Linked DNA regions of Tribolium castaneum. The protein of the gene in region 4 purifies or fractionates together with the protein of the main gene of each other region. This does not show direct contact. Links are inferred from orthologs where the notes say so. Each region holds a gene or a part of one and is shown on either strand. Other genes may lie near its edges.

The links.
Region 1: the proteins of mad2 (region 4) and Cdc27 purify together in Homo sapiens (affinity purification with western blotting; 29 studies listed by BioGRID and IntAct, with this or other methods). This does not show direct contact. The link is inferred for Tribolium castaneum from reciprocal best matches to the Homo sapiens genes MAD2L1 and CDC27.
Region 2: the proteins of mad2 (region 4) and shtd purify together in Homo sapiens (affinity purification with mass spectrometry; 3 studies listed by BioGRID and IntAct, with this or other methods). This does not show direct contact. The link is inferred for Tribolium castaneum from reciprocal best matches to the Homo sapiens genes MAD2L1 and ANAPC1.
Region 3: the proteins of mad2 (region 4) and APC7 purify together in Homo sapiens (affinity purification with mass spectrometry; 3 studies listed by BioGRID and IntAct, with this or other methods). This does not show direct contact. The link is inferred for Tribolium castaneum from reciprocal best matches to the Homo sapiens genes MAD2L1 and ANAPC7.
Region 5: the proteins of mad2 (region 4) and APC4 purify together in Homo sapiens (affinity purification with western blotting; 14 studies listed by BioGRID and IntAct, with this or other methods). This does not show direct contact. The link is inferred for Tribolium castaneum from reciprocal best matches to the Homo sapiens genes MAD2L1 and ANAPC4.

Annotation. Positions count from the first base shown.
Region 1 is NC_087394.1:14,530,444-14,534,851, forward strand, and holds part of Cdc27 (cell division cycle protein 27 homolog), read right to left. Parts: intron 1,040-4,408; coding exon 493-1,039; intron 1-492. UniProt on the Homo sapiens protein: Component of the anaphase promoting complex/cyclosome (APC/C), a cell cycle-regulated E3 ubiquitin ligase that controls progression through mitosis and the G1 phase of the cell cycle.
Region 2 is NC_087397.1:4,709,487-4,714,694, forward strand, and holds the end of shtd (anaphase-promoting complex subunit 1), read right to left. Parts: intron 5,190-5,208; coding exon 4,591-5,189; intron 4,481-4,590; coding exon 3,334-4,480; intron 3,287-3,333; coding exon 3,038-3,286; intron 2,990-3,037; coding exon 2,771-2,989; intron 2,723-2,770; coding exon 2,596-2,722; intron 2,551-2,595; coding exon 2,349-2,550; intron 2,299-2,348; coding exon 2,063-2,298; intron 2,013-2,062; coding exon 1,764-2,012; intron 1,719-1,763; coding exon 1,397-1,718; intron 1,350-1,396; coding exon 978-1,349; 3' UTR 923-977; downstream 1-922. Other genes in the region: Pen (importin subunit alpha-5), read left to right, coding at 1-16, 69-251, 300-482, 529-675, 721-816. UniProt on the Homo sapiens protein: Component of the anaphase promoting complex/cyclosome (APC/C), a cell cycle-regulated E3 ubiquitin ligase that controls progression through mitosis and the G1 phase of the cell cycle.
Region 3 is NC_087395.1:24,227,838-24,232,610, forward strand, and holds APC7 (anaphase-promoting complex subunit 7), read right to left. Parts: upstream 3,057-4,773; 5' UTR 2,986-3,056; coding exon 2,917-2,985; intron 2,870-2,916; coding exon 1,721-2,869; intron 1,532-1,720; exon of another isoform or gene 1,470-1,531; coding exon 996-1,469; 3' UTR 956-995; downstream 1-955. Other genes in the region: PR domain zinc finger protein 10, read left to right, coding at 1-204, 312-480, 524-552; U4/U6.U5 tri-snRNP-associated protein 1, read left to right, coding at 3,128-3,305, 3,353-3,999, 4,052-4,773. UniProt on the Homo sapiens protein: Component of the anaphase promoting complex/cyclosome (APC/C), a cell cycle-regulated E3 ubiquitin ligase that controls progression through mitosis and the G1 phase of the cell cycle.
Region 4 is NC_087398.1:3,483,025-3,486,594, reverse strand, and holds mad2 (mitotic spindle assembly checkpoint protein MAD2A), read right to left. Parts: upstream 2,028-3,570; 5' UTR 1,922-2,027; coding exon 1,846-1,921; intron 1,798-1,845; coding exon 1,651-1,797; intron 1,602-1,650; coding exon 1,207-1,601; 3' UTR 1,137-1,206; downstream 1-1,136. UniProt on the Homo sapiens protein: Component of the spindle-assembly checkpoint that prevents the onset of anaphase until all chromosomes are properly aligned at the metaphase plate.
Region 5 is NC_087400.1:321,652-326,588, forward strand, and holds APC4 (anaphase-promoting complex subunit 4), read left to right. Parts: upstream 1-1,618; 5' UTR 1,619-1,724; coding exon 1,725-1,836; intron 1,837-1,881; coding exon 1,882-2,010; intron 2,011-2,071; coding exon 2,072-2,232; intron 2,233-2,278; coding exon 2,279-2,998; intron 2,999-3,453; coding exon 3,454-4,530; 3' UTR 4,531-4,536; coding exon of another isoform or gene 4,537-4,626; 3' UTR 4,627-4,676; coding exon of another isoform or gene 4,677-4,820; 3' UTR 4,821-4,887; downstream 4,888-4,937. Other genes in the region: CstF64 (cleavage stimulation factor subunit 2 tau variant), read right to left, coding at 1-67, 117-205, 261-290, 339-468, 525-708, 758-1,181, 1,227-1,305, 1,356-1,407; uncharacterized protein LOC659212, read right to left, coding at 4,537-4,626, 4,677-4,820. UniProt on the Homo sapiens protein: Component of the anaphase promoting complex/cyclosome (APC/C), a cell cycle-regulated E3 ubiquitin ligase that controls progression through mitosis and the G1 phase of the cell cycle.

The DNA.
Region 1 (4,408 bases), on a different chromosome or scaffold from region 4:
GGAGCACTCCTTGGTCGTGCTCCAAAACCATTTGTGCCACAATAGAACGTCTTATAAAACTCGTATAATAATTAATAATACACTATTTTTGTGTTTTTTTATTCAATTTACGAAAACAGCTATTTTTTCTATTTAAAGTAAATCAAACTAAGTCTTCTTCGAAAAACATTAATGACAATTTTTTTATATCATATGGTAAAGAGAAAGGTATGAAGTATAATTCAAGACTGAGAGTAGACTTGGACATTTTTTTCAAACACAAGAAAGACATCTCCAGAGCAACCGAGAACATTCTACCTAGGCAGAAAAAATACGAGTTCATTCCATATCTAATTTTCCATATCTTCGCTTGGCAAAATTTCTCGAGTTTTTTCATTTTGTAAATAAAAACAAATATTCCAAATCATGCGATTTACTCAGTGAGAAGAAAACACTCACAAATTTAGAATTTGATAAAAAATTTTGTGCAAAAATCCATCAAAAATAACTTACATTACTGGAGGAATCCGTCCGAAATCTCAGCAACTTGGTCCTCGACGTGAAGGGGGCGAAGCCCGACAGCCACACATTTTGTGTAACAATTGGATTATCATCAGGTGTACACAATTTCGAATTCGAAGTTACGACATTGGGGCTAAAATTCACAAGAATCTGTTGAGGAGTTGTGGCGTATGTCTCTTGATTATCTTGATTTGGATTGTTGTTTGTTATAACAACACTTTCGATATTGTTAATATTACTTCCCTGGCACATTGATAAATTTTCAACACCTGTTATTTGGAATATATTTTGGGGGTTTGGTTTATCTCCTATTTTGCATAAATTTTCGAAGCTTGACCATTGAAATGGATTTAGTTTTAAGGCTCGTTTCCATGCATCTATGGCACGAGGTTTTCTTTCGGTTTTGGCAGCTATGTTACCTAATAAAGATAAAGCGAATGGTGCTTGATCACCGTATTCTGATGTGATGTCGTCGAAATTCTCGGAGTCATTGCTGCTCTTATTGGAGTGTAACAAAGCTGCCTCGGCCTCAGCATATCTGTAAAAAAAACATTATTGAAGCTATGCTAAAATTAAGTAACGATAACTGTTACAACATTGTGAAAAAATGATTGTGTTTATAAATAATAGAAGGTTACGAAGACTAAATACTAAATAAATGATCTTCTGTATCTAAAAAATTAGTGCGGTAGAGTAAAAATTAGGGCACATCGAACGTTAAACTGCCTGGAAAAAACGCAGTAACATTGAGCGTAATAATTAATAAATAATAATACTTATTAAAAATTAAAAAAATTTTGACTTGTCCCATATTTTTCAAAATGCTGAGAAGAGGATTAAGAAAACAAAAAAACAAAGAAAGTTCATCAAAAACGTTGAAGCGAATTAAATTTCCTACTAAAAAGTGCACAATTTTAATTAACGGTGAATTTGATATAAGATATAACCTATTAGTTGGTTACATAAATAATCTCAGAAATAAGAGTGTACAATTAAATAATACTTCAATACAAATATTATTTAGGTAATTTTTTTATTATTATTTCTAATGACATTCTGAAATAAACAGTATGTAATTATTGTTGTTTTGTAAAAAACATATATAAAAATTGTCGTTAATTTACCACAGTTTATACAGTGTGGAATTTTTAACTGAAATAAAATTCATAACTAGGATATAGGCAATTTTTGTAAAAATTTCAGAAACAGGTGCTTTTTGTTTTTTCTTGCCCATCATTTAGTCGATATGGTTTTTATTTATCTGCTGTCAAAACCTCACAGCCACCTCCAACTTTTTTTCTCAAATGTAACGGTATGTCGTGTGACACCTCATGTAAAAGAGCACTTCGAAAGCAGTACAACGCATTATTTGCTTTCTAAATATTGTCAATGCCCAAGTGATAAAAAATTAAAGTAGTGTGGAAATATTGACTAAAATAAAATTTGTAACTTGGATACAAGCGATTTTTGTAAAAAAATCCTGACACAGGTCGATTTTTGATTTTCTTTGCACATCATTTGGTGCGGTTTTTGTTTATCTGTTTTCAAAAATGCCCAGCCACCTCTAACACTTTTTTTTTCAAATGTAACGGTTATGTCAAGTGTCACCTCATGTGAAAGAGCACTTTGCAAGGAATACAACCCACTCTTTGTTTTCTGAATATTTTCAAGGCCTGCGCGATAAAAAATGAAAATCAATTTTTATAAATTAAAATTAGGAAAATCACACTAGAAATGTTAGAAATTCATGCTACTATCGTCATGTTATTTCCCAAGAGAGGAACGGTGCCCATTTTGAACAATCAAATCAAATAATGTTCAACTTATAAAAATTGGTTCTTATTTTTTTTATCACGTAGGCTTTGAAAAAATTCAAAAAACAAATAGTGCGTTGTAATGCTTGCGAGAAGAGCTTTCATACGAGGTGTCAGTTGACATACCGTTACATTTGAAAAAAAAGGTTAGAGGCGGCTGTGCATTTCTGACAACAGATAACAAAAACCATATGCATCAAATAGTGGGCAAGAAAAAATAAAAATTGATCTGTTCGGGAATTTCACCAAAATCGCCTAAATCAAAGTTATGAATTTTATTCCAGTTAAAAATTACCCGCTGTATGTTGTACAGGGTGCTGCATGTTGGATGTTCGAATACGGGATCTCCTAAGAGGTATAGAGAAAAACCAGTGACATATTTTCGAGTCAGTTTTTTGAGAAAATAATTTCGCTATCTTTTTTTGTTTTCGACTTTTAAACACTTATGTTTATAAAAAAAAATCATATCTTCCTTAATATAAAAGATACACATTTAAAACAAAGACATTTTTTTTCAGAGAATCTAATAATGTTATCAGCAATTTTTTTCAACTATTCGTTTAACTGTAATAACATAAAGTTTTTATGATATTTTCGAAAAGCTAATTTTTTTCTGATCTGATATGTCTATTTGTGTAATACATTAATTTTAAATATTTAAGAAAAAACAAAACATTTCGCTTTTTCTTTATAGTAGGCCATGAAAAAATTTTGGATTTTTAATTAAAACTATGAAAATTGTATTACCCAACAAGTATTTATAATTTAATGATTTTTTTAAACACTAATTAATTCAAAAACAGCACAATAAATTTTTATTAGATCAAATTTTTGCAATTAATAAAAATTATTTGTTTTTATATTTAAAATGGCAAGCTTACGTTGTCATTCTATTTTCCTATTGTAAACATGAAATGTCGGAAGAAGAAAAATCTTATTAATTGTATGATTGCTTATCAATAAAATTTTATTTTACAAAAAAATATCAATCCAAACACCAAAATCAAATTCCATCTGCGGTAAAAAAAATACACAACATTATTAACGTCACCTCCTTTGCACTTTACTAAATCATAAAAAAGTGGCATCAAATGGTAGTGATACATTGTTTGAAATTTTCTGCACATTTCTTATGTAATTAAAATCCGCGACGCTCGTATATTTGTTTAAATGAAAATAACTTTAACACAGCTTATTTTTATAATCACATTTTTTACTTTAATAAACGTTCACAAAATTTCTAGATTATTCATACCTTTTATGTGAAATAATTTTTCCATGGCCGACTACTTTCAAATATTTTAAATATATTTTTATCAAAAATATATAAAAATATCAAACTATATTTATATTGTTTTGAGTTCAGAAAAAAATTAGCTTTTCGAAAATGTCATAGCCAACTATGATTCTCATTTAAAAAAATACAACTATGTTATTACAGCTGAACGAATGATTAAAAAAATCGCTGATAACATTATTAAATTCTCTGAAAAAAAATGCCTGTATAATGTTTTTGTTTCAAATGTGTATCTTTTATAATAAGGAAGATATGATTTTTTAAGATTTCGCTAAAATGTCCACTTCTTTTTATAAGTCGACAACAAAAGACGATAGCGGGATGCGGTTTTGACCAAAATTATTCTCTCAAAAAACGGAATGTTTCACTCGTTTTTCTCTAAACCTCTTAGTTTTGGAGATCGCCTATTCGGACATCCAAAATACAGCTTACGTTTTCTAGTGCACTAACTATTAACAAAGAATTAAAATTTTATTCAGCTTTCTATACACCTTTTTCAACTATGTTTCAGAAAGAGTCAAGTATATTTCTGAAAAAGGCAGTTATAATTCAGATTATATCCCATTTTCGTTCACAGTACAATTTTACAACAACGCATTTACATTTTTTTTGGAGTCAAATGGAGCAAAATTTAGAGTTTCTGGTGGGTTTTCTTAGATCAAAACGTGTCACTGGGATTTATTTTAACACAGAATTCTTTTCTTATACAGAATCTCTCAATTTGTGCTTTATTTTTCACACCAAAAAATTCAAATGCACTGTTGCAATTCTACTATGAACTGAAATGGGATATAGT
Region 2 (5,208 bases), on a different chromosome or scaffold from region 4:
CGGAAACGACCATCAGGTATAAGGCCACTCAATCAATTGTTAAAAGTATTAATAATTTCGTTTGGTAGACTGATATGGTGATCAATGCCGGGGCTTTAGATTGTATGATCCGTTTATTGCAACACAGTAGACTGAACATTGTCAAAGAAGCTGCCTGGACAGTTTCAAACATTACTGCCGGAAATAGTGAGCAAATCCAAAAAGTCCTAGATGCCGGGATTTTGCCTTATCTTCTTCACGTCCTACAAACCGTATTGTTGCCACGCTTTGTCCGATTTTTCCTAAAACGTGACTTTTAGGGCGACTTTAAATCGCAAAAAGAGGCAGCTTGGGCTGTTACTAATTTCACAAGTGGCGGGAATTCCGCCCAATTGGCGCAACTTGTGGAAATGGGGGCGTTGAAACCCATGTGTAATCTCCTGAATTCCAAAGATAGCAAGACTATTATCGTGGTGTTGGAGGGATTGAATAACATTTTATCGGTGAAAAAAAATTTGTGTTGGAATTTTGTCTAATTGTCGATTTTAGGCCGCTGCCAAGTTAAATCAAGCCGAGAAAGTGGCCATAATGATTGAGGAGTGTGGCGGTTTGGACGGTATTGAGGCCTTGCAAAGTCACGACAATGAGAAAGTCTACGAACGGGCTTTGCACATTATCGAGAATTATTTCGCCGATGTGAGTTATTTTGTGGGTAAATTGTTTTGTAATTTGAGGTTTCAGGGTGAGGAGGGAGTCACTGTTACTGTAGCAAATGGGGAGATTCAGTTCGCTACTCCTAATATGGCCGATCAACAACAATCACCCTTTTCCTTCTAAGTTTCAACCGATGCGTTTAGTTCATTCCTTATTGTGTTAGTGACACGTTTTGTATTTTTATAGTCTGTATTACGATATGTTCCCAGTTTTCGAAATAAAAATTATGTTAAACCTTGAAATTAGTTTTATTTCACATTTATTTATAAAAAATACAGCTTCTTTCACATCCTTAGCCTCATAATTTTCTCTAAGGTACTAACGGAATATTTGTCTTGAAGTTTAAGCATCACTTCTAATGGATCACCTTCTGCACTTTCCCTAAATGGTATATCGTAAAATATCACATACATGGCTAGCCTATTCAAGGTTTCTTTATCAAAAGCCAAGTCGGCGCCCCTTGTATACGCTTCTAAGGCGGGGGCCAAGCCAGGTTCCCAATCTTCTAAAACTTCTAACATTTGTTGCTTTATGGCCAACATTACTTCCGGTTGAATTAAATTACAAGCTAAGGGAGTTGATATTATTTGTGCAAACAGCAACTTGACTTGCCAAAAGTTCAAGGCGTTTGGTAACAATCTCATATCACGAACGACCTGAACATAAAATCATTATTTAATAAATACATGAGTCTTGACATTACCTTTAACAGAAAACTAATAACCGGTATGACAACAAGTTTGTCTTTCACGACAGCGTCGTACGTCGCTTTAGTCAGCATTCGTGTTAATTTCAATTCTTGCGGACTTAGTTTATCAGTTGAGAGAAAATGATCACAGAAATACTTAATAGCTTGGTCGTGTGTGAACGAAAGGATGGACGACGATGAAGGATTCCACGGTACAGTCTCAGACTGAGTTAACGTTTTGGCCAACTGGCTGTGATAACCCAATTTATCGGCAATGTAGCTCAAACAGCCCGCCCTTTGCTTGACTTCAACGAACCCATTAGTCGAGAGTATGGTTCTAAAAACCAAACATGACTGATTTTTCACGAAGAAATTAATTTACATGAGAGAATTCCAATTTTGGCTCCTCTTGAAAACCACAGGCCAATAGCGCTCGTCCTCAATCGCCACTTCTTTCAACATACTGAGGTCGGGGATAATCCCGGGTGCTTTTACGAAACTTTTCGTACCGTCCAATTTAACGACACTCAAAGAGGCGTAGCAACATTTACCAGAATGAACATCTTTTGGTATTATTAGACGCGGCTCAACCGCCAGTACGTACAAATGTCGGAAGGCTTGAAGGTGATACCTGGAGCAATATTACATATTTTTCCTACTTTTACACAACCGTTTCGTTACCTGTTATCGTTACTATGAGTTGGAAATTTCGGGTAAAAAGCACATATTAAGGCCGCAATGTTCCCCGGAGAGTTAGATAACGTGTATCTCCCACCCCCCAAAAACAACAAACCTAAGGCCATATGCATTGCCAGGTGTGAACCGTACGTGACCACAGAACTGCTAGCTACACCAACTCGGCGGCGTAAAAGTCGCACAAAACGCATGATTTCAAGATTACCAGTCCCCGCCATCACCTTTAACAATTTTTTTTTCAAATAAAAACCACAATTAATCGTCACAGTACCATCGCGCTCGATAATAGCAGGACATTGAGACAGGTTTCAACGGTCGGTTTCCCGGCTAATTCAGCTATGGATTTGATCGTCAGGTTGGTAAACATGCGGCAGAAGTGGAGCAAAGTCTGGAAGGCGTTTTCGTCCGCAGAACCCGCGTACTTGAGACCCAAGGCGAAGCAAGCTCCTGTCACAATGTTACAATAAGCTTGGCTAAAATCACACGGTTATTTCCTTAAAATCGTACAAATCACTAACTTCATAGCTTCAAAATCAATATCCAAATTCGGTGATGGTTTTAGCATACAGTAGGGCCTGATGGTACCCGGCACTTGACCCTCGACCCATTCCTTGCTCGGCACAATATCATCCCAAAGAATCAAAGCTGTGGAACAAAAAATCAAAAATTTTCAACGTGATTTTGAGGGACAACCTCGCGCCAATATCCGAAACATTAAAAAGTCAGGACGCACAAAATCAAGCAAATATTGTGTTTCAGGCGGCGCCATCCAGTCAGCTACGGCCTTATTGCCAGTTCCTAGATACATAAGGCCTAGAGCTATCGTGGCCCCCGGTGCTGTCACGTCTAAATTAATGGAAGAACCTTCCCGGATTTGAAACGACGGTACTTTGTATTTGTCTTTCTGTGCGCCTGTAAATTATTACCAGTTAAAATGTTTGATTTCATGTGGTCATGTACCGGTTAAGGGACGTCGGTTACCACCGACCATGTAATAGTGCAAGCGGTCGGAAATATTCAAGTCTGACAAGCCCAGAGAGCAACTGCCTTGCTTCAAAGTTACTAGGCCTAGCGATAATCCGGCTGCAAGTGAGTATGATTCCCGGTCGACGCTGTTTTCCATCTCAGGGCCTGGCGGACGCCCGATTTCGGATAACAGGACTTCGATAATGTGGCGGTGCGAAGTGCCTTGGTAGACTAACCCAATGCCTTGAAATAACACAAAGTAATAATAATTTTAAATGCTTTTTACCGACCTAGCAATGCAGCAACTTGCACATTTTGGTGCACATCAAGCTCCATCGATGTCGGGGGCAGCATAGCTTCCACATGTATACTCAAAGTCTTGGTCATTCCCAAATCCGAAGTGCCCCTAAAAGCCGCAGACATCCCAAGCAAAATCCCAATACTCGTCATTTCGTGCAACTTAATCAAATAGTCATACGTGTTCAACGCATCTAAATTTTTCAAATGGCCATTCAGGCCCAAGGCCATTAAAAACCCGGCATGTTCCATCTGCTGTTCCATCGAACCCTTCGGTTTGTTGAACACAATCCACGTATTGTCCACATTGTGCGCATCGGGATTTATCCTCAAACCGTTCGCCACACCGTTGTGAAACAACGGCCACAAATTCATATTCGAGGGCGTATCGATGTGGTTTAGCTCAACTGTCGTGCCCCGCGGGGGCGCCTTCCCGGTCAGGCACAGTGGCGGTGTTTGCAGCGGTTCGGTCACAACCGGTGCCGAGGTTCTCAAAGTGAACATCCCTCGGCCTGTTGACAGGGCCATGGTTCTGGTACAGATCGCAAACAAGTGTTTTTCTTCCTCTTCGATAAAATCATGATCGGACACGTCCGGTCGTTGCACAAGGACAATCGGGACGGGTTTGGAGCTTTGCAGCATTTTCCGGGCTTCGGCCACTCGCATATCGTCCGGAAAACGCAGCTTGGTTAAGGGGTTTTCAATGTCGTCCATTCCGTCTTGTTGCTCACTTTCGACCGGTTTGGACGTAAGGACAATGCCTGGCAGTTCGTGGGTTGTGTACATTCCTATTTTCTCTAAAGTCGTTTCGGGTTTTTCTTTGTGGAATTTGTGCGCTTGAACAGCGAGGTCATCGCGCCATAGTAAGTAATAAGCGTCTGAAGGTAAGTCCGAGGGAGGGTTATCTCGGCATTTCCACAATGTGCTGTATATTAGGAGGTAAATCGCTGGAGGTAAAGTGTCCAAATCTCGAACCGTCATTTTTTTCGATGTCATTAAAAGAAGTGTTTGTTCCGGTGGCGAAAGCTCAGATGGTTCTTCTTGAAGAACTGGGCTACCGTTAGATGTGATGTTGGGCTCTATGAGCTTAAGCAAATTGGCCGGCTTGTGGCCAAGTTCTTTAAAGATGATGCCGCAAATCTATTAAAAACAACTCGAATATTTTACTTGAAAAACTATTCGTTTATCTCTCACTTTCACTTCTTTAAAAACTAAATATAAATAAAAAAAACGCAACAGACGAGACTTACCTGCACGATGTCCTTTGACTTATTGTTGACATGATTTACAAACGGATAGGGCGCCACTTCCCCTTTTTGCATCAAATGGCACAAAAACTGCATAATATTGGCCGGCGTTTCGCCAATAAACGGATACTCATGTACTTGTTTTAACTCATTTGGTGCGATATATCCGTTCGAATTTAACGAGAAACAATCGGGAAAATCTTTCCAGTAGTGCACCACATACTCAACCATCCCTAAATCGCTGGCTATCTTATTTAAAAAAATCGCCAACAGTTTCAAGTCATCCGATCGCAACACATTCAACTTCAAATCTTCATACAACAAGTGTAAACAATACAAAATCAAGCGAATAAACGGGAAAAGGAGCGAATTAACATTAATTTGAAGCGTCCTAGTGTGGCTTTTGGGGGGATTTGAGTTGCATTTGAGGAGCAACGTATGTTTGAGACACTTGTCTAGTTTCGTTGCATAGTCCGAATTGCTTAAATACAACCAATCCTCGTCCGTCCCGGCACTTGAGTGTTTCTGTCGCTTGGGGTTACTGCAAGGTGTTACGGGGCAGTCCTCAGTGTTACCAAAATCTTGCTCGTAACCCAAAAATTCTAAACAAGAAAATAAAAC
Region 3 (4,773 bases), on a different chromosome or scaffold from region 4:
TCGCAAACTGTGGGCAGTATTACGACGCGGCCGCAGAACTGCAAGTGGTGTCATAAGCAGTATGCGAGCAAAGCGAAGTTGTTGCAGCATCAGAGGAAGAAGCACAGCGAGCAGTTGGCTCAGCAGAATGGGGGCAAGGAGGAGCAGAAGTACACGCCGCCGGAGCAGGCGGAGGGACAACAGAATGACTTGCAGGACTTTAAGGTTGGTTTTATGCCGCAGGAATCACTATGTTTAGTCCGCGGTCCGCGCTCTCATTTTTTTTTTTTAATAATATAGCAAGTAATAAAAAAATGTTAATGTTTCCGCAGGTGTCTGAGAGCGATATTTTGAACAGCGCCCTCGAAGAATATAACAAACGCGGAGGGGAGCAGTTTTGTCATTTTGTTGCGATTGAAGGTGGGGACGAGTTTGAGCAGTCAACTGGGGATTTGGGGGCCCCCAATTCGCATTTGTTTCGCTTACTGACAACGAGCAACGGTGAATATTTTCCCCGAGATAAAAAAAATTGATTGTGTTTTAGAACTTCCAGGTTTAGTGCCACCACGTTGAAGAAAAACCTCGAGGATTTCGAGTATTTCCGGTGCTCCTTTGTGAGATTTCCACTCAACTGAGTGATTTTGAGCGAGTTTGTGCCGTAGGTTGAAACCTACGTATTTAATAAAATGCAAAAAGTAACAAAATAGAACGAGAGGCGAAGAGAATTTTGGGAAATTGAGATTATTTTAGCAATAATTGTCTTAATTGTAACAAATTTATAAACGAACAAGCGCTTATTGTTTGGCTTGGCCGCGGCCGCTTGTGTTTAGCTTAGGGACGTTTGTTTGGGTCAAAAATGTATCCTAGATTCTAAAAGAAATGAAACCTTTTCCCCGTGATAGTACTAACACTTTGTATTTTAACACGTAAATAATTAGGGAAATGTAACCCTGTGATTGTTGAAAACAAAGTCGCGTGACTTTAAATATTTTTATTGTAAAAAAAATTGTTATCACCTAGAAACTCATATTGGTAGGCCAGGGTTCGGTATCGTTCTGGACAAAAACATCGTCCTCGGAGGCGCTCGTCCCTGGCGACGTGTACGACGTCTCCCCCACGCAGGTGTAGTAGCTCTCCCTTTTGCTTAAAGACACGTTGCGTCCGATGCAACTCAGGCCCTCGGTCGCCCTCTGGTTGGACGGGTCGAGCCGCAGGGCCACGTTGTAGTGGTGGAAAGCCTCGCTGTCCTTGTTCAAATTGACGTAGCAGTCGCCCAGCATCTGGTGGATGCGCGAGGTGGGGTGCTGTTCCACGTGCTTCAGCAGGAGCTGCCGAGCTTGGTCGTACTGCTGCTCCTGCTCGAGCAACTCCACGAGCATACAGACGGCCTTAGTGGAAAACGTCTTGTCTTGGCTCACGGCCTTCTCGAGGAGGTTTCGCACCGTTTTCCCGGACGTCATCGGGTCTTTGAGTAAAACGGAGGCGTGCAACTGCAGTGAAACTATTTTTTGTAATTGTTGTTATTTGAGGAATAAATAAGAAAACAACTTAATGGCGCCTAATCCGTTTCGACACCTAAAGCAAAGACAACGTCCCATCCCGATATTCCTCTCAGATAGCGCATTAGTTTGCCAGATGAAGGCAAACGAAAAAAAAGTGATACGTTTTTAAAATAATTCGTCCCAAAAAAACAGTCTAACAGCCAATTCTCTCTTTACCGTATTACAATTTTTTCACTTACCGTAACCGAATGTGGGCTGAAATTGAGCTGTTTGCACGCATTTTGCGCCATGGAGTCGGCCTCCCTCAGCCGATTCATCTTCACATAGCACTCGACCAAACACTGGTGCAAGTCGTATCGAAACGGACAGATCTGGATCGCTTCCGTGCAATGCTGGGCGGCATCCTGGTACTTGCTGAGCTCCACCAGCGTCTTGGCTTTCAGCAGCAACGCCTCTATGTTTTTGGGCGAGGCACAAAGCGCCTGCTGTGCGAAATAAACGGCTTTTTCGTGCCGTCTCGTCGAAAACATCAGATTGCCAATGACCACCCAATGCTCACTCGTCCACAGCGACATATCCGAGGTCGGGATCAAATCCTCCAAATACTCAACGTGTTCGGAAGTCCCCGAGCTCGCCAAAAGCGTGGCCAGTAAATCGCGACCAAAGACTAGGTTCTGGTCGAGTTTAATCGCCCGCTGGAGGACTGCAATCGCCGTCTCGTCCTCACACATGTAGTGGTAGCAGTAGCCCAGGTTGACCAGCAGCGACGTGTTGTCTTTGAGTAGACCGTGGCTGTCCATGCTTTTGTACGTTTGGGCGGCGTTTTCGAAGTCGCGCGAGTACAACTGGGCTTGTGCTTTGAGCCAGAGGTTTAGCCAGTTTAGTTCGGAAGTTGCCTCCACCATTAGTGCGTTGACTTCGACCCCTTTCACCCCCAGCTTGAGCAAGTTCTCCACGGCTTCGAGGGCCAGCGGGCACTCCCGGAGCACCTCCTTGTAGCACGTTATGGCCGAGCGCTCCATCCCGGCCTCCCTGTACAAGTTGCCGAGCGCCATGTTGACTTTGGGGGTCCGCAGGCGGGCCTGAATCGACTGCAGCATCTCGATGGCCCCATTCACCTGCTTCAGGGCCATGCAGCACTTGTGTATCTTGAACCTGATCTCCACATCGCTGGCCAGTTCGGGCTGACTCTCCGTGATTTTATTAGACATTGACTTGGTTTTTAAGAGGTGTTTGCGGAGCTGTAAGGCCTGGCGGTACAAACTCTCGCTTTGGGCGAACTGTTGCGTCTCGTACAGCGAATCGGCGTACAGCAACATCACCTGGAACTTCTGCAAAGGGGGCAAAAAGTCGGGCTTTTGCTCGGACGCCGACAGGGCCAAGTCGCACTAAAAGCACAGTTGGGGGCTCAGACTCCCAAAAGGGGGCTACAAACCACTCGGGAGATGTTCGAGTGCAGGGCAAGCTCGTACATCGCCTGCAATTGCTTCAATAAGTTGGTCATCTTGGCTTGGCAAATGTGGGGTTAGGTTTTTGAACTCGGCAAATCCCGTAACGGCGAAACCACCAATCCGGATTTCGCGCACGTCAAAACGTTGCATTGACGTTGTGTACGGTAGGTATTTCCTTCAAATTTTGTAAAAAGGATGGGTTCTAGTAGCAAAAAATACAAAGAAAAAGAGAAAGAGTCTCGTAAGCGGCGCCACCACAGCCCCGGCTACACCGACGAGCATGAGCCCCCGAAGGAGAAGCGCCACCGCCACAAGAGGCACCACAGGGACAAGAAGCGCGACGCGAGGGCGAAGCACGACTACGACAGCGACGGTAAGCACCCCGCGTCCAACTTTCCCGTTTGAATGATTTTTTGCCAGGATCCGACGTGATCGAGGTGATTCCGGACGATGAGCCTTCGGGCTCCGGGCAAAACGCTGAGAGTCTCTCGATTGAGGAAACGAACAAACTGCGGGCGAAGCTCGGCCTGAAGCCGCTCGATGTGAGTTCGGGGGACAAGTCCGAGAAGAAACGGGATGACGGGAAGAAGAAGGACGATTGGGGCGAGTTTTACCACAAGCCGGCGGAGAATTGGGCGGATAAGCACGAGAGGGAGAAGCTGAAGGGCAAATTGACAACGATTCGGGAAAAGCGCCAGCTGGAGAATAAGCTGGGCAAGGTGAAGCTGCTGGGGGACAGTGATAGTGATGATAATGTGGAGTCGTGGGTTGATAAGAACCGCAAGATTGAATTGGCCAAGAAGGAGGCTGAGAAAAGGGCGAAAATGTTGGAGGAGTTGGATGAGCAGTTTGGGGTCAGCGAGTTTGTGGAGAATGAGAAGAAGGAGAAGAGGAAGCAGAGATACACTGAGAGGAATTTGAAAGGGCTGAGGGTGGAGCATGATGTTGATAGCTTTGCTGAGGAAAGGGATGTTATCTTGACGCTGCAAGACAAGGGCGTCTTGGATGAAGACAAGGAGGATGTCCTGGTCAATGTCAACATGGTTGAGGACGAGAGATACAAAAAGGTAATTTGTTACAAATATTTACAGTGAATGATTATTTATCATCAAATTTCAGAACGTTATAAACAAGAAGAAGAAGATTTTGTATAACGCCTACGAAGACCAGGAGTACGACGAGTTTGGCAACCCCAAAGAAAAGTCGCTTTTGGCCCAATACGACGAAACAATCGACGGCGAAAAACGCGAAAGCTTCAAAATCGGTTACGACAATGCGGTTGAACGTAAACAAGCAATCGTGCAATCAATTAAGGAAAAACTCGCCAAAAAAAGAATCGAATCGATTGAAACAAAAGATTTAAAACTCGCATCGGAATATTACAACGACGAGGAACTGTCCAAATTTAAAAAACCCAAAAAGAAAGTCCGCAAAATCCGAACTAAGGGAAAACTGACCGCTGATGAATTGGAGCAACAAATTAACAACAAAGGCATCGAGGAAGTCGGCTCAAGACGCCCAAAGAAAGAGCTCGAAGACTTGACCATTGACGACATCCCCGAAATGGAATACCCCACGGACGTCAAACTCGAGGACGAGAAGGACGATCTCTTGGAAAAAGCGCTGCACAAGACACGCAAAATCAAACAGAAGGAGAACCTCGTTGCTGAGATTGTTAAATCAACGCCGGTTAAAAGCGAAAGTGAGGAAAACCTGGAGGGGAGTATTGTTCTGAACGCCACGGCGGAGTTTTGCCGCACTTTGGGCGACATCCCAACGTACGGCAAGTCCGGCAACCGCGAGGAAACCGAAGATTTGATCGATTTCGAGCGTGATCTGAA
Region 4 (3,570 bases):
TCAGGTAAAAAGCAATGTACCTATAAATATCAGGGACCGACATTTTACTTAATTTTTGTATAAAGTCATGTAGATATATTTATTTATTACATCTATACTCACAACAAAATCTTAAGAATCTTTATTACAAATTCTAAAAAAATAAAAAAATTGTTGTAAACTTATTAATAAACGATGAAAGGAAGGACGTAGTTTTTTTACTATTGGTTTGACCCTATCTGGTACATTGGGGGACAAAAGGACTCTCTATTGGATAAAAAATTATAAAATTAGGTATGTAATCAATTTTGCCTGCTCTCTGTATTAACCAATTCTTTAATAACTGTTTACTAATAACTCTCGAAATTTAATCGACTGTTAGATTTGTTGTGAGTTTCAGATGTCTCTAACTCGCATGTCCCTCTCAAATAGCAATACGTAGACGTAAACCTTAACACAAACCTCTCAACTACCGGGGAAAAACCGACTCTTGTACACGTTCCCTTTTATGTTTCAGGCAAAAAAGCGACCGATTCGGTAAGGTAGTGTTGACTTTGCACGTTTTCGCACTAACACTGTGTAGTTTAGAGGGTGTGTGGTTTCGAAACTCCAGTTGCTAATCACTCAGTAATAATTGTTTGATTTGTTCCAGTATTGTGAGGGAGCGGAAAAGAGCGACAAGGCTGGATAACCCTATACCAAAGAAAATTGCATTACAGAGGATGTAGATACTCGTTTAATTTATTTGATTTGGAGAAAAACGCACAATGTAGTAGTCGATGTGTAATAATTTTTTTATCATGTTAGCAACAATGTTATGTAAATCTCAGTGTTGTTAAAGATACTCGCATATTGTGATAACGATAAATGGCGCTATTAGTTGAGTGAAAACTTAGAAGTTTAGGTCGAAATCTCGAACCATTTGTCGTGACTGTAGTTAAGTTTTATATGCTTGAAAAATAAAAGAAATGTTACTTCTTTTATAAACTTTATTAATTATAAATATATTTAAATAAACGCAGAAAACGTTATCTTTGAGTGAGTTTGCCCCAAGTCCTAGAATACTTCAATGAAGGTTGTTACCTTCAAGTCAATAAAAAAACACAAATGTAAAATCATAATCCTTTTTTTCGATCATTGGTGTTGGAATAAAAATCTTCTGTGTAAAAAAATGTAAATTTATTAAACACACTGAACGCAAAAATCGCTTCCACTTTACACTTAAACCTAGTCCTCATTCTTATAGGTAACGACAGTATCCATCTTATGTAAATTGGTTGAAAAGGACCGCATTTTAACCGACTGTGCATTTTTTACATGGGCTGCTTGGGCCTCAGTCCACTCTCCCGGCAAATCAACATCACTTTTGGTATAAATTTGAATATCAAAGCTACATAAACAGTCCAATAAAGGCAAATAGGCGACCGACGACGCGATTTGTTTCAACACGTCCCTAATCTCGTTTTTAATAGTTTTTAACGGTTTTTCCGACACGGCCCCCCCAGGTTCATCCGCATTCCCCTCATACTCAACATAAAAATCCCAACGTTCCATAACCTCCCGCGTTTTCACGTTCGTTATGATCATTGCAACCCTCGTAACGCACCTTTGTAGTAACCACTCTAAAAATAATACAAAACTAGTCAAAAAAAACTCGCCGGTAACCCAAACCTTTTAATTGCGATAAAGTCGTCGAGAGAAACTCCTTGATCTTGTTGTCGGTAGACATGAGAATCGTCAGACCGTAGTTTTCCACACTTTGAAAGTTCTCGGGTGGGTACAGCCCCCGTTGGAACAAAATCGAGTTGATTCCGAAATCTGCAAGACAGCCATAACCTCATTTTATACAATTGGGGGCAAAATTACTCAAGTAATCGCAAACGATTTCGGCGGAGCCTTTCAGAGTGATCGCTGATTTGTTTTTTGGAGCCACTGCGGCCATTGCGGGGCTGTCTTAACACACACAGATAATTTAGCGGCAAAAAAAGTAACGGTAAAAAGTGAATTCAAACTTTCAAAACTGTCAAACGTCAAGTGGCAGGTTTGCCAATCTCAGCGGATGTAAACAATTTCGAGAACCTTTCCAGAATTTCTACCGGGAAGAGAAATTCGCTGTGTTCCAGAATTTTCCAGGATAACTGTTATGGAAAATTACGCAATGATTTACTAATTTATCGCCAAAAGAACGTTGCTAGATAGGAACCCCAATAAATGACTAAAATTGAGAATGAGACGACAAAAAAATATAAGAATGAATCATCTTTTGCACCCTTTTGACTATTTTTCTAAAAGAATATCTTTGTTTTTTATACTGTTAGGGCGAAAATAATCATTATTATGCATTCTCAATCGAAAATAGATGGAAATCATCCACGAATTTGTTGGAAAAACTAATTTTTGTTAAACCCACGTGTTTTTTTCATAAAACGTTGCTTAACCGATTTATGAGGGAAACAAGGGCAGTAAGACATTTTATAAATTAATTTCCATCTAAATTCAATCAGATTTAGCCCCAAAATTTGCCATTAAACAAAAAGTTTAAAAAATTGGATAATATCTGTTGAATTCACCGTTTTCATCTTTTTTCGTCACGAATTATAACCATTCGCACCCAATTTTTATCAAATCAAATGATATGAATTCGTAGAATTGTAAGGGATGCTTGGGAGGTCCGAATGGTTAGTGTGTGTGAGGGCTTTTAGGGCGAGTGTGAAAGATGGGAAACATGTGTTAAAGATGAATGCCGAATGTCTGGATTTTTAGAAAATAAGTTAGTCTGTAACTGGCTTTTGTAGAGTAAAGTAAAATTAAAAGGTCCTGTTGAGAAGATCGTAGTTTATTTACCCTATAATCCTGACGTAATAAATTATAAACTATAACAATTTATCAGAAGTGGGATCGTGAAAAAAAAAATTATTCGTGGAGACTTAGTTTGGTTTTATTAGTGTTAGTTTGTTAGTGGTCAAAGAAATAAAGGAAAATGACGGACGATAAGAATAAAGAAAGCCCGAAGGAAATCATCCCTCAATCAGGACAGGAATTTTTGAACTTAGAGACAATTTTACAATTAGTGAAGGCAGCGGTGAGCGAAGCGTTACAGGCTCAGACAGGGACAGTGGCGGCGGCGGCGGCGGCGGCGGTTGACCAGGAGGTAGCAGGGTCGCCAGACATACAGGAGTTGTCCAGAGATAAGGAGGCGTCGGGGACGCTGGGGTCGTCTGGAAACGGGGTGGTGTCGGAGACAAGTGGCCTGCAGAACAGTCTTCCGTTGGGCCGGGTGGAGGCGCCTGGGGCGTCGAGAAACATGGGGTATTGCGTAATGCCCGATTTAACGCAAAGTTTACGCGTATTCAATGGAAAAGGAGGTGCATCAGACGCATTACAGTGGTTACAGGACATCAAAACCATGGCGGGACGTCAATTTTGGGGTGATGCAATTTTGTTGGAGGTGGCGCGTCAACACCTCGTAGATAGCGCGTTGTTGTGGTATCGATATCACCAGGATACCTTAACAACGTGGGCAGCGTTTGAGATGCGATTCCGCGAAAATTATACGGATCGAAGAACGCTCGCCGAAAGGTTTAGAGAGAT
Region 5 (4,937 bases), on a different chromosome or scaffold from region 4:
TGGGGGGTACTGGGGGGCCCCTGCGGGGCTCTGACCGGCTGCGGAGGCATCGCGTTTTGCTGAGGGGCTAAAATCAGACTTTCAACAACCAATTCAATTACGTACTTCACACATACGCATATTTTTCTGTCTTGGGTCAGCTCGCTGTTGTTGTCTCGGATCAGATGGGAAGTTGGCCGGACCTCCACGTGGGTCCCTATTAAAGCTAAGAAAAAGTATCAGTAAATTGTATTTCTAATCAATTGTAAATGGTTATTTACCTTTCCAATTTCTGATCCTGCTTAGTGAAACTGTTTAAATTTGAGTAAAAGGGCTCAAGGTTGAATTATTTTACTTACTTTTCGACAAGTGGCGGCGGAAGGGGGTTGGGGAGTTGTCCGGGCAAAGTGCGCATGTCCTGGTCGCCCAGGCGGCTGAGGCGAGGATCAGCCCCTCGGGGGTCCAGTGATCTTAGATCAACGTCTTGACCTGCAATAACGCAAACATTATTATTATTTATAATCAATTGTGATAAAAAAAATCACCTGTGAAGACCGGATTGGAATTATTATGAATCGCGGGGGCTGGCACCGGCTGAAAGTCCTGTCTTGGGGGCTGCACAGGCGTGGGATTCGAGACATAATTACTGTTAATCGGAATGGGGCCTGGATTAGTCTTTTCCTTGGGCGTCAAAGACGAAGGAACGGGATTTTGCGGATGCAACATTGTCTAAAACCCCCCAATAAAATATAAATACGCCCCCAAACCCCCAACTCACAGCCGCCGTATGCGGGTCAATAATCCTCATAACCACCTGCGCCTGCAGCAGAGCGTACGCCAACTGGGGGTTCTGCAGCAGCATCTGCCTGGCCTCAGTGGGGTTGTTCTGAATGCAGAGCTTCATCTGCTTCATCAACTCGAACATCTGCTCGGGGGGCAACGAGGCCACGGCTTTGCTGATGGCCTCGGGGGCCTTCTCGGCCTGAATCGGCTCGCCGTAGGGGTTCTCGACCGGGGGCTGGTTCAGCAAGTTTTGCATCTCCATGCGCGATTTCTCGGTACAGGCGTTGTCGACCCGGAGGTTGCGCCCCCCGATCTCGTACCCGTTGAGGTTGCGCATGGCGCTGAGCGCCGTCTCCTGGTCGCGGTACTCGCAGAAGCCGTAGCCTTTGGGCTTGCCTGTCTCGCGGTCGAAAACCAACCTAAAATTCAGGCGTTAGGGGGCTTCAGGGGGCAGGGCAACGTACTTGAATGACAGGACCTGGCCTACTTCGCCGAAAATGTCTTTGAGCTTCTCTTCGGTGGCTTCGTAGGGGATGTTGCCCACTGGAAGCAATGGGGTTATAATTATCACTTAAAATTTAAATAATTTGTACCAAAGACCGAACGCATTGACTTGTCCATGATATTTGCTTCTAAATTATCCATGGTGATTGTTTAATTCCAACTTGGAACGAAGTAATCAAGACACCTGGGACACCAATTTCAACAAACGGTCAGCGTTACCAACCCTCTACCTTTTAAAAAAGTACAAAATTATGCATTTTAAAGCCAACAATAACAAAAATGTTGGTTTATCTATTGTGGTTACAACCCTAAAGTGAATCGTAACGCCTGACTAGGCCTGTTTGTGCACATTTGGCTAAATAAAGCAAATCGGGTCCAGACGCACAGTTGGTACCCATGACAGAATTAAACGTAACCTTACAATTTGAAAATTGTTTTTTGTTACTAATTGTTGGAAAATGAGCACAGTTCAGGCGATTAAACAGCTCGAAGAGCGCAATGTGGCCAGTGAGATTGTTCAAATGGTGTGGAGCGACCGTATGGACCTTGTCGCTCTTGCCAATATCAAAGGTAACCCCCATTTGCAGTAACCGGCATTTTTGGGTGTCTTTGTAGGAGAGGTGGCTCTTCATCGACTCACTTGGACCAAAGCGTGGAGTCTCAGTGCCCCCAAGGATGGGTTAAAGGTCACAAGTATTGCCTGGAGGCCTGACGGCAAAATCATAGCAATTGCGTACAGTTCTGGTAAAATATTGTAAAAAAAGTATTGGAAATAATTTAAATCCATTGTTTTGTGCAATTTCAGGCCAAATACTGCTTGTGAAGGTCGAGAATAAGTCGGTGTTGCACACTATTGACATCAAGGGCGAAGTTTCATGTCTCAATTGGTTGCAAGACCGGACTGTTAAAGGGAAACTGCCTTCAGTTGACGAAGACAGTAAACAGAATCAGTACATGAAACACATTGTAAAAAAACCCGAATGTTAGTGCTCGTTTAATTTCCCAGTTGTAGGACTTATCGGGTAATTTTTTGCCCGAACCGGTGCTACAACAGTTCGATTCCCCCAACAACGACGATGGTCAGAAAACCAACATTTTGCAAGAGCAAACCGACTTTAATTTGCTCCTGATTGGGACAAGTGAGGGCACCGTGCACGTGCGAGTTTTCGGTTGTTTCCCGTGCGCTTCCCTTGACTTGAAGCAAACTCTCAACTGTCTTTGCTCCATCCAGAACATGCATTTGAACGAGGACCTGAACCGCATGTTTTTCACAGTGCGAGACAACGAAAACAACGTTAAATTGATTTGTTTCGATTCGGAAATTTTCAAAACGCACACAAACGAACTGTTCGCTTTGGCCCTCAAACACATAAAATTGACCTCACTGGTGACCTATCTCTCCAACACTATTACCACCATCACCGAGTCCTGGGAGAGCATTTTGCTGGAGATGGACAACAAGTTGTCGAAATATGCGAGCAAGGTGCCAGAAGGGGGCGTCACGGCTGATTTTTTGGATTTGCTGACGTTTGGAATTTGCTCGGATGAGATGAAGACCTTTCTCATACACGATTTAACGAAGAAAGGGTTGGAGAAGTTCGGGCAGACGATTGAGATGAGTTATTCCAACATTCAGAAGTTGATGCTGAAGTATGTGATGAAGTTTGGGCAGAATGTTACCTATCACTTGGCCGAAATGAGGGGGATGGCAAGACTGGAACACCGCTATAAGGTTGGTACAAGTGTGTGGTGGCTGCCAACTCAACAAAAAAATTAAAATTTAATTTTGTGTGAACTTGGCAAGAAAAACCATCAAAAATGCACAAAAATGGAAAAATCACATTTAGTTCGATAATTTCAAAGTCTGAGAAATAGTTAAAAAACAGGCGTATTTTAGACGAAATTTTACGCAACAAGCTACATTGAGTGAAACAAACAAATATCAATCAGGTTTGCTTTGAAACGAATATAGTGTCTGATTTTTTAAACGAACAAAATACTATCTGGCAAAATAAATAAATATTTAGTTTAAAATCGAGCAAATACTACGTGAAAAAAGTCCAAAATATTCGGGGAAACCCCTGACGGCTTTAAAACGCCTTTTTCGGCTTTTCGCTCCCACGTTTAGGACGCGTTTCAATTGAAAAGAAGTTATTAGTGTAAAAAATGGTGATTGGGTGATTGTAGGTTTTGGGTTTGGACGCGGCCGCCATTACCGGCGCCATTTCCTCGAACGGCGCCTTCTTGATCAAAGGCAGCGAAATGCAGCAAATCATCAATCACTCCATCATCAATTACAAGGCCTTCTTCCGCTGGCTCTACACGGCAATAATGCACGTTCTGGATGAGCCAATACCGAACGAAATCCCCAAAATGACTCAGCAAGACCTGGCTTACATCACCGAATTTTTGCAAAACTTTGACCACATCAGTCGGAATAACAAACAAAAGGGGTTCATTATGGAGCGGTTGGGGCAATATTTAAGCGATGGCAATTTGACGATCCAACCAGACATGTCCGGGAACGAATGGACTGATTTTTTGGCCCAGAACCAATGCATCGAAAAAAATAGTTCCATTTTGAGGCACTTCAAAGAGATGTCGCTGATACAACAGTACAAGCATTTGAAGCAAAGCGTCGATGCGATTTTCGCGACACCTAGAGAGCAAATTAGTAGGCAGTTCAGTCATTTGAATGACTTCAATTGTTTCCAATTTTGCGGCGATTCGTTACGGACGTCCCAAGTCAACTTAAACAAAGAATCGATTCTTTTTTGTTACTTGCAGCCGCCTGAGACCGTTCTAGGCCTGCAGGTGTATCTAGACGATGGCAATTGTTTCATAAAGTGTGCGCGTCTGTACTTCCCCCGTGACAATTCCGAGGATAATTATCACGTGATCGATATTAAACTATATTCGAGTGCAGTATTGTCGGTTTTATTGCAAGAAAACACCGTTTCTAAAGCTACAGTTTTAAGTCAGATACCGATAGGTGGCGTTTTGGACAAGTTTGTGGATGGGGGGGAGACAGATCGTGTTTTTAGTGGTGCGGTTAACGTGGTTAGTTTGAACGGTTCGTGTTTGGTTCCGAAGCTGTTTAAGTGTGTGGAGGGGATGGTGGGGGCGGAGTTTGCAGTGTCGGGGAGTCGACGTGTCGGTATCGTATTGGCGGAAAATCGGAGGAAGGTGCGCTTGTATGAAATGGAGGGGGAGGAAGAGGAGGAGGAAGATGCGGAGATGAACAATAGTGGGGTACAAGAATGACTTTATTTACATTCTAAGGACTAAAGTTTCGTATTCGGGACAAGCGATTTCTTCGCCGCCGTATGCTATGTAGCAGACACCATGGCTGGGGTGTATCTGGAAAATAAATGATCAAGGGTTAAAATTTATAAGGGTGAGTTAAGTACTTTGCCAATTGTTTGGGAGCCTTCGTGGTAGGCGCGGCCTATGTAAAGGGGCTCCCCTTCGCTGGTGTGCCCCCCTTGGACCGCCCCTGGTGGCAAGTGGCCGGCGTGCGATTGTACCCACTCGAAGTATTGTTTACATAAAACCTGAAAATTTTAAAAAATAAATAAATTCGTTTTCCTTATTAATTAACCTTGCAAGGTGGAAGAAAAATTGTTTTCTTTTAGTTTTTGTACAGATACAAAAAATTAAATAACGAGATT